Cricetulus griseus: one gene and its partner. The protein of the gene in region 1 purifies or fractionates together with the protein of each later gene. This does not show direct contact. Links are inferred from orthologs where the notes say so. Each region holds a gene or a part of one and is shown on either strand. Other genes may lie near its edges. The genes, in order: Ap1g1 and Ap1m2.

Region 1 (3,816 bases):
AGATATAAATTGTGGACCAGGCATGGTGGTGCATGCCTTTAATCCCAGTATTTAGGAGGCAGGAGCAACAAGATCTCTGTGAGTTGAAGGCCAGTCAGGTCTACAAAGCAAGTTACAGGCCAGTCAGGGCTGCGCAGTGATATCCCACCCCCCACCTATCCCCACTACCCCTAGGTCTAGGTCTCACTCACACACACACACACACACACACACACACACAAAAAAAAAAAAAAAAAAAAAAAAAAAAAAAAACAGCAAACAAAATATATATGAGAGCTCTGCGTGCCTGCTGTGTTTAGGGAAATCATTTAGACCAGGGCAGGGAGCAGAGCTGTTCCATACTCTGGCTGTTCACTTCTCAGGACAGACAAGCTTCGAGTTCCTTTGTACTTATAAAGACACCAACTTTTCAGCCACACTTTACATGATAATGTAGGATAAAATTACACATCTCAGTGATACTCTTGGATACACCACTTGCAAATGGCTAGTGCACATAAGACAAGAAAGGCCATGGGTACTTTCTCCTTTGGTTGCTTTAATAAAAGAAGGGAGGGAGGATGGTAGGAAGTAAGTTAACCCATCACCACAAATACCCACAGCTGTTGAAAACTAACCATGAGCAGAAAGACATCTGGAGGTTTTGAGGCACCAACAAAAAGCAGAATTGGCTGGAAATACCTTTTTTTTTTTTTTTTTTTTTTTTTGGTTTTTTGAGACAGGGTTTCTGTGTAATTTTGGAGCCTATCCTGGCACTCACTCTGTAGACCACGCTGGCCCCAAACTCTCAGAGATTCGCCTGCCTCTGCCTCCAAGTGCTGGGATTAAAGCTTGTGCCACCATCGCCTGGCCATTCTTTTCTATTCTAAAAAAAGGAAGTCCTTTCTATCTTAAAATACTAGAAACAACCCATTCTTCCAAAATAAATTAGCCTAAGTAATCCCTCGGAATGACCCTCAAAGCATTAGCATGGCAGCTTACACCCCAGCTGTTGCCAGTTCCACCTACCCCTGCTTCTCAGGGATTCTTCTAGCCTCAGCTGACTCCTCTGGAAAATGCTTTCAGGAATTCCCCCAAGATCTCTACTCCTATCCAAACTGTAGATAATTCAAGTCTGGCCTCACCTGTTAGGGTGATGTCTCCCAGCAAGTCAAGAAGTTCTCCACCAGCAGAAGCTGGTTTGCTGGTGGGTACAGTTGGAATAACAGGTGTAATGTCATTTCCTCCCAACAAATCCAATAAATCATTGGCCTAAATAAGGAAATAACATCTTCATTCATAAATTATTTATCTAAAGTATATTTAACACTGTTTTTCCCATACTTAACCATTAAGAAAGGCAATTATCAAGCAATCAAAAAACACTAAGGGTTATCAGCTAAGAAATGAGCTTCAGGAACAAAAACATCACCAGGAGCCCAAGACAAGCAAGTAAAGACTACCTGGCTGGTGGGCTGTGGCCCAGAGGGTGGTGGTTTTGTCTCTAGTGGAGCTGGTTCTGTCTCTCCATTTGTCTGCACAATCTCAGAAGGGCCATTTGTGGTCACCTTTTCCATGACAGGCATTCTTTCAAGTAGGGCAGACCTAGAAGAATCTGAAGTGGTTACATTCTAGGCAGTTAACCTAGACTCCCTGCACAAAACAATAACCATTAATGATTAAATTTTGAAGCTTAGCAGGGAGAAGCACCTCCCCTCCCCATCCAACACACACTAAAGTAGAAGGCAGATTACAAGAATATATACATGACCTAAATTCTTAACTGGATTAAGAACAGGCAAGAAACCTTGAATAAACAAAATGTCCCAAATCCCCAAACCTGCTATTCAGTAACTGAGACTAGGATGAAGGAAGGTAAATCAACAGGTATTAGCAGACTTCGGCCATGAGCTGGGTATTATATAATAGAACGGAGGGGAGGGCAAAAACAATAACACCAAATGTTTGAAGTAATAGGATTTGAATAAAATTATTTCTCTTAAAAAATAACTGCCTTTTAATCAATAAAATGTAAAATGATACAAACTTTATATGGAGGGGAGCATGAAATGAAAAATACGCAATAATTTTTATTTATTTATTTTGAGACAGGGTCTTACCATGTAATTCTGGCTGACCTGGATCTCACTGTGTAGACCAGACCAGCCTTGAACTCAGAGACCCACCTGCCTCTGCCTCCGGGTGTTGGGATTGAAGGCAGCCACACCATACCCCACTCGATACATTTATTTCTTTGGTGGTCAGGCAGAAGAGAAAAATGGACAAAACAGAAGCAGCCAAGCAATGAGAACTAAGGAGAGTTACAAACTCAGTGAATGCCGAACATGCAATGTGTCTCCTTCACTGGCTACAAGGACAAGTTACTCAGAATGTTAAAAGTACATATACTGCTTGGTTTATTTTGCTCACCTCATATGGTCATATTTCTTAAAAAGTGCATTGTATTCTACTGCCCTCTGCTGGAGCTCTACATCGATGCTGCTTCCATAGATAGAAACCACTTTCTTAATTCGGCTGTAGGATAAAATGATAAATGAAACCAAACATTCAAAACACAAAGTTCATAATGAAGCATAGAAAATCTTAAAAACAGAATTTCCTGGTTAAATTTTTTAATTACCTATGTTTAATCCAGTAATAAAAAAAACAGAATAACATTGCCTTATCTCTATTCAGTCACCATTATACTATTCTAACTGTAATGATAGATTTCTAAGTATTTATTCCACCTTCTTAAACTTGCTAGAGGTTTGGGAACACAGCTTACTGGTAAAGCTACTGGTTTGTGAGGCCCTAAGTTCAATGCCCAGCAGAGGAAAAGAAGGAGAAGGAGGAGGAGGAGGAGAAGGAGGAGGAGGAGGAGGAGGAGGAGGAGGAGGAGGAGGAGGAGGAGGAGGAGGAGGAGGAAGAGGAGGAGGAGGAAGAGGAGGAGGAGGAGGAGGAGGAGGAAAAAAAAAACTTGCAAGACAAAAGTAACCATCATTTTGCCACAAAAGGAATTTGTACTATCCAATTCTCTTCCTTAGTTACTTTTTTAAAAATAAGGTTTTAGCATCAGCATGCTTGCCATAAATCCTTCCAATTAGCAATTTAAATACTAAAAAATTTACACTTCTCATGAAGCCTTACACTGAAAATGAAATAGCAAATCCAGAAAAACTTACTTTGGAAAATTGACTTACTCAAAATAGCACCAAGTAAAACTTAAAAGATTTAAATACACACGCACGCACGCTCCCAGCACCTGGGAGGCAGAGGCAGGCAGATCTCTGAGTCCCAAGACAGCCATAGTTACCTGGTATAAGATCTTGTTTCAAATAAACCAAAACAACAAACAAAAAAAGAATATAATAAACCAATAATTTAAGGGCAAATGTTAGAAACTGGACTATAAAAATGCAATTTTAGGGCTGGAGAGATGGCTCAGAGGTTAAGAGGACTGACTGCTCTTCCAGAGGTCCTGAGTTCAATTCCCAGCAACCACATAGTGGCTCACAACCATCCGTTATGAGATCTGGTGCCCTCTTCTGGTGTGCAGATATACATGGAAGCAGAATGTTGTATACATAATAAATAAACTCTTTAAAAAAAAAATGCAATTTTAGCTACAAAATAATCCTCAGTACGGTGAAGCAATGACAGAACAAATACAAACGAAATAAAGATTAACTACGAACTGATCATTCTGAGTCTGTGGTCCTAAGTAAATGAAACTCATTTACTTCTCTTTTTCTAAGGTTTCTTTTTATTTTATGTGTATGAATTCCTTGCCTGCATGTGTGTCAGTTCACCGTGTATGTGCAGTACCTGCAGAAG
Region 2 (3,816 bases), on another chromosome or scaffold:
GTTGTTGTTTTTTAAAGATTTTATTTATTTATTATGTATACAACATTCTGCTTCCATGTATATCTGCACACCAGAAGAGGGAATCAAATCTCGTAATGGATGGTTGTGAGCCACCATGTGGTTTCTGGGAATTGAACTCAGGACCTCTGGAAGAGCAGTTAGTGCTCTTAACCTCTGAGCCATCTCTTCAGCCCACCCCCCACCCCCCGGGTTTTTTTGAGACAGAGTTTCTCTGTATAACAGCCCTGGCTGGCCTTGAACTCAATTTGTAGACCAGGCTGGCCTCAAACTCAGAGATCCACCTGCCTCTGCCTCCCAAGTGCTGGGATTAAGGCGTGTGCCACCACCACCTTGCAGAAGATAATTTTTAAAAATTTATTTTATTTTTAAGGGTGTGCTAGAATGTATGTCTGTGAACCAAGCAGGCTTGAAGAAAGCACTGGATCCCTTGAAACTGGAGTTAAAAGATAGTTGTGAGCTGCCATGTGGGTGCTGGGAATCAAACCTGGGTCTTCTGGAAGAGCAGCCAGTCCTAATGGCTGAGCCATCTCTGCAGGCTCTGGAAGGCTATTAAAGCAAAAAGTTGCTAGGCGGTGGTGGTGCACGCCTTTAATCCCAACACTCAGGAGGCAGAGGCAGGCAGATTTCTGTGAGTTTGAGGCCAGCCTGTTCTACAGAGCTAGTTCCAGGACAGCCAGGGCTCTTATACAGAGAAATCATGTCTCAAAAAAAGAAGTTTTTGCCAGATGGTGGTGTCCCAGGCCTTTAATCCCAACACTTGTGAGGCAGAGGTAGCAGATATCTGGTCTACAAAGCAAGTTCCAGGACAACCAGGGCTACTAAGAAAACCCTGTCTCAGAAAACCACACACAGACAGGAGCGCGCGCGCACACACCCAAACACACACACACACACACACACACACACACACACACACACACACACACAATGTCTTCCCATCCCTAGCAACCATTAATGGCCTATAGATCCTATAGTGGTAGCATCTCTTGCATCCCTCCCACAGTAGGAAGCTGACTGTCTGATTTGTTCAGGTACTCTTGGGACTGCCTCTCCTGCAGTCCAGCTGACCTTGAACCTCCAAGGATCACAGGTGTACCTAGTTGTTTATATTGGAATGTTTTACATTTATTCAGTTAGTTCTTTTGTGTGTGAGTGTGTGTGTGTGTGTGTGTGTGTGTGTGTGTGTATGAGGCATAGGTGTGCAGATCAGAGGACAGCAGGCCTTCCAGCACATGGGTTCCAGGGTCATCAGGTTTGGTAACAAGTGACTTTTCCTGCTGAGCCATCTCTCTCTAGTTTGTTTTGTTTTGATGTTGGTTTTTCCTGTACTAGAGAATTACATCTACTCATTCTGTTTTACTTTTTTTGTTTGTTTTTTTGTTTTATCGAGACAGGGTTTCTCTGTATAGTTTTGGAGCCTATCCTGGCACTTGCATTGGAGACCAGGCTGGCCTCGAACTCACAGAGATCCGCCTGCCTCTGCCTCCCGAGTGCTGGGATTAAAGGAGTGTGCCACCAATGCCCAGCCAGAACACAGATTTTTAAATATTTAAGATATACACTTTATTGAAGGTTTACATACTTTTAATTTTATGTATATGTGTGTTTTGCCTGTATATATGTCTGTGTACCTCATGTGTGCAGTACCCATAGAGGCCTGAATGGAATGTTGGATCTCCTAGGACTGGAGTACAGACAGTTATGTGTCTTGGTGCTGGGAATTGAACATAGGACATGGGTTCCCTGCAAGAGCAGCCAGTGCTCTTAACCACTGAGCATCTCTCAGGCCCACACTTTTGTTTGTTTTGTTTGTTGAAGCAGAGACTCTCTATTTAGTCTTGGCTGTCCTGGAACTCACTATATAGATCAGACTGGCCTTGAACTCAGCAAGACCCACTTGTCTCTTCCTCCTCAGTGCTGGGATTAAAGACATGAACCACCATACCTGGCCTCCACACTTTTTAAAAAAATTTTTAGGGAATGTAAGATGGATCAGACCTCTCATTCTAGAGCTTTGAAGGCTATAGCAAAAGGATGGAAAGTTAATGGCCATCCTAGGCTCCATAGCCAGACCCTGTCTCAAAAAACAGTCTGGAGTGTGGCTATTTAGTGGAGCCCCTGTATAGAATCCCCCAGTGAAGGGCAGGGGTGTGGCTCTTCAGTAAAGCCCCTGCATAGAATTCCCCAGTGAGGGACTGGAGAGTGGCTCATTTGTAGTCTTGATCTGTAGCCAGGTGTTTGTTCCCTCCAATCCCTGTACCACACCCATACCCAGAAAATCCATTTTAAACCCTCTCTAGCTGTCTGTCAAGATTCTTCAAGGTGTGGGTTTCCACTTCTGTTTTCCTCCTTCCCATCTGACATGTTGGATATGATTGATGATCACTTTTCCTCATTAAATTGCTCCATGGGAGAAAGCCTGTCTCTTTGTTTGCAGCCCAGGCACACAGTAGGTGGTCCATAACTGCTTACTGGCTGGCTGAGTGTGTTCCCTGGGACCCCATGCCCAGGTCTTCTGTGAGTATTTTAAGGAGCTGGAAGAGGAGAGCATCCGAGATAACTTTGTCATTGTGTACGAGCTGCTGGATGAGCTCATGGACTTCGGCTTTCCGCAGACCACGGACAGCAAGATCCTGCAGGAGTGAGTGCGGGGAGGGCGCCTGTGACCACGAGTCTGGTCCCTCCAGGTGTCCCTGATTTAGCTGTAGAGTCTCACTGTTCTTTCCAATAGGTACATCACACAACAGGGCAACAAACTGGAGACGGGCAAGTCTCGAGTGCCACCCACAGTCACCAATGCTGTGTCATGGCGCTCTGAGGGGATCAAGTACAAAAAGAACGAGGTCTTCATTGATGTCATAGAATCTGTTAACCTTCTGGTGAGCTTCATGTCCTGGGGGCAAGAGCGGGAACTCTGTACCTGTTGACACCCCATATTGGGACACCCCCTTTGCAGGTCAATGCTAATGGCAGTGTCTTGCTCAGCGAGATTGTGGGCACCATCAAGCTGAAGGTGTTTTTGTCTGGGATGCCAGAGCTGCGGCTGGGCCTCAATGACAGAGTGCTCTTTGAGCTTACTGGCCGTAAGATTGTGGGGGATCCCCTTCCCAGGGATGGGCTAGAAAACAACTAGAGGCCTCCTAGGCTTCAGCCAGTTCTAAGATAAGTGTTCACATGCCCTCTGATAATTGAGCCTTGTGTCTCAGCAGCAAAGTTCACCTAGAAAATGCTTTCTTTGTTAATGAGAGCTGGCTGCTGACCAAGCCAGTTTCTGGCCTTGACATTCTAGTGGAAGGAGACAGGTTAATAGTATTTGAACATCTCACAGAGACAGGCATAGTAATCCATGCTGTAATGTCAGCACTCTGGAGGCTGAGGCAGGAGGGTTAAGAGTTCAATGTCATGAGAAGTGGGCAGAGACAGATGGTTGATTCACTAGGAATTCCAAGGGGGCCAGTTTAGCCTAATCAGCAAGTTCCAGGCCAAAGGAGAAATGCTGTCTCAGGAAAAGAAATAAAAAAACAAGGAGGATGACATCTGAGGAAAGATACGTGGTATTGTCCTTTGGTGTCCATGTACACATATGCACATACATATTAATGTGTGCACACACAGACACACAGACACGCACATGCACGCACGCACGCGAGTGCACCACAATGTAAAATAAAAACAAACAAAGACGAAGTCAAGCATAGTGTAATCCAAGAACTTGGAAGGTAGAGGCAGGAGTTCAAGGTAATTCTCAGCTACTTAGTGAGTTTGAGGCCATTCTGGGCTACATAAGACCCCATC

The links.
Region 2: the proteins of Ap1g1 (region 1) and Ap1m2 purify together in Homo sapiens (affinity purification with mass spectrometry; 4 studies listed by BioGRID and IntAct, counting the BioPlex papers as one, with this or other methods). This does not show direct contact. The link is inferred for Cricetulus griseus from reciprocal best matches to the Homo sapiens genes AP1G1 and AP1M2.

What each region holds. Positions count from the first base shown.
Region 1 is NC_048596.1:186,215,505-186,219,320, reverse strand, and holds part of Ap1g1 (AP-1 complex subunit gamma-1), read right to left. Parts: intron 2,515-3,816; coding exon 2,410-2,514; intron 1,585-2,409; coding exon 1,443-1,584; intron 1,252-1,442; coding exon 1,125-1,251; intron 1-1,124. UniProt on the Homo sapiens protein: Subunit of clathrin-associated adaptor protein complex 1 that plays a role in protein sorting in the late-Golgi/trans-Golgi network (TGN) and/or endosomes.
Region 2 is NC_048597.1:134,160,458-134,164,273, reverse strand, and holds part of Ap1m2 (AP-1 complex subunit mu-2), read left to right. Parts: intron 1-2,531; coding exon 2,532-2,662; intron 2,663-2,752; coding exon 2,753-2,900; intron 2,901-2,977; coding exon 2,978-3,104; intron 3,105-3,816. UniProt on the Homo sapiens protein: Subunit of clathrin-associated adaptor protein complex 1 that plays a role in protein sorting in the trans-Golgi network (TGN) and endosomes.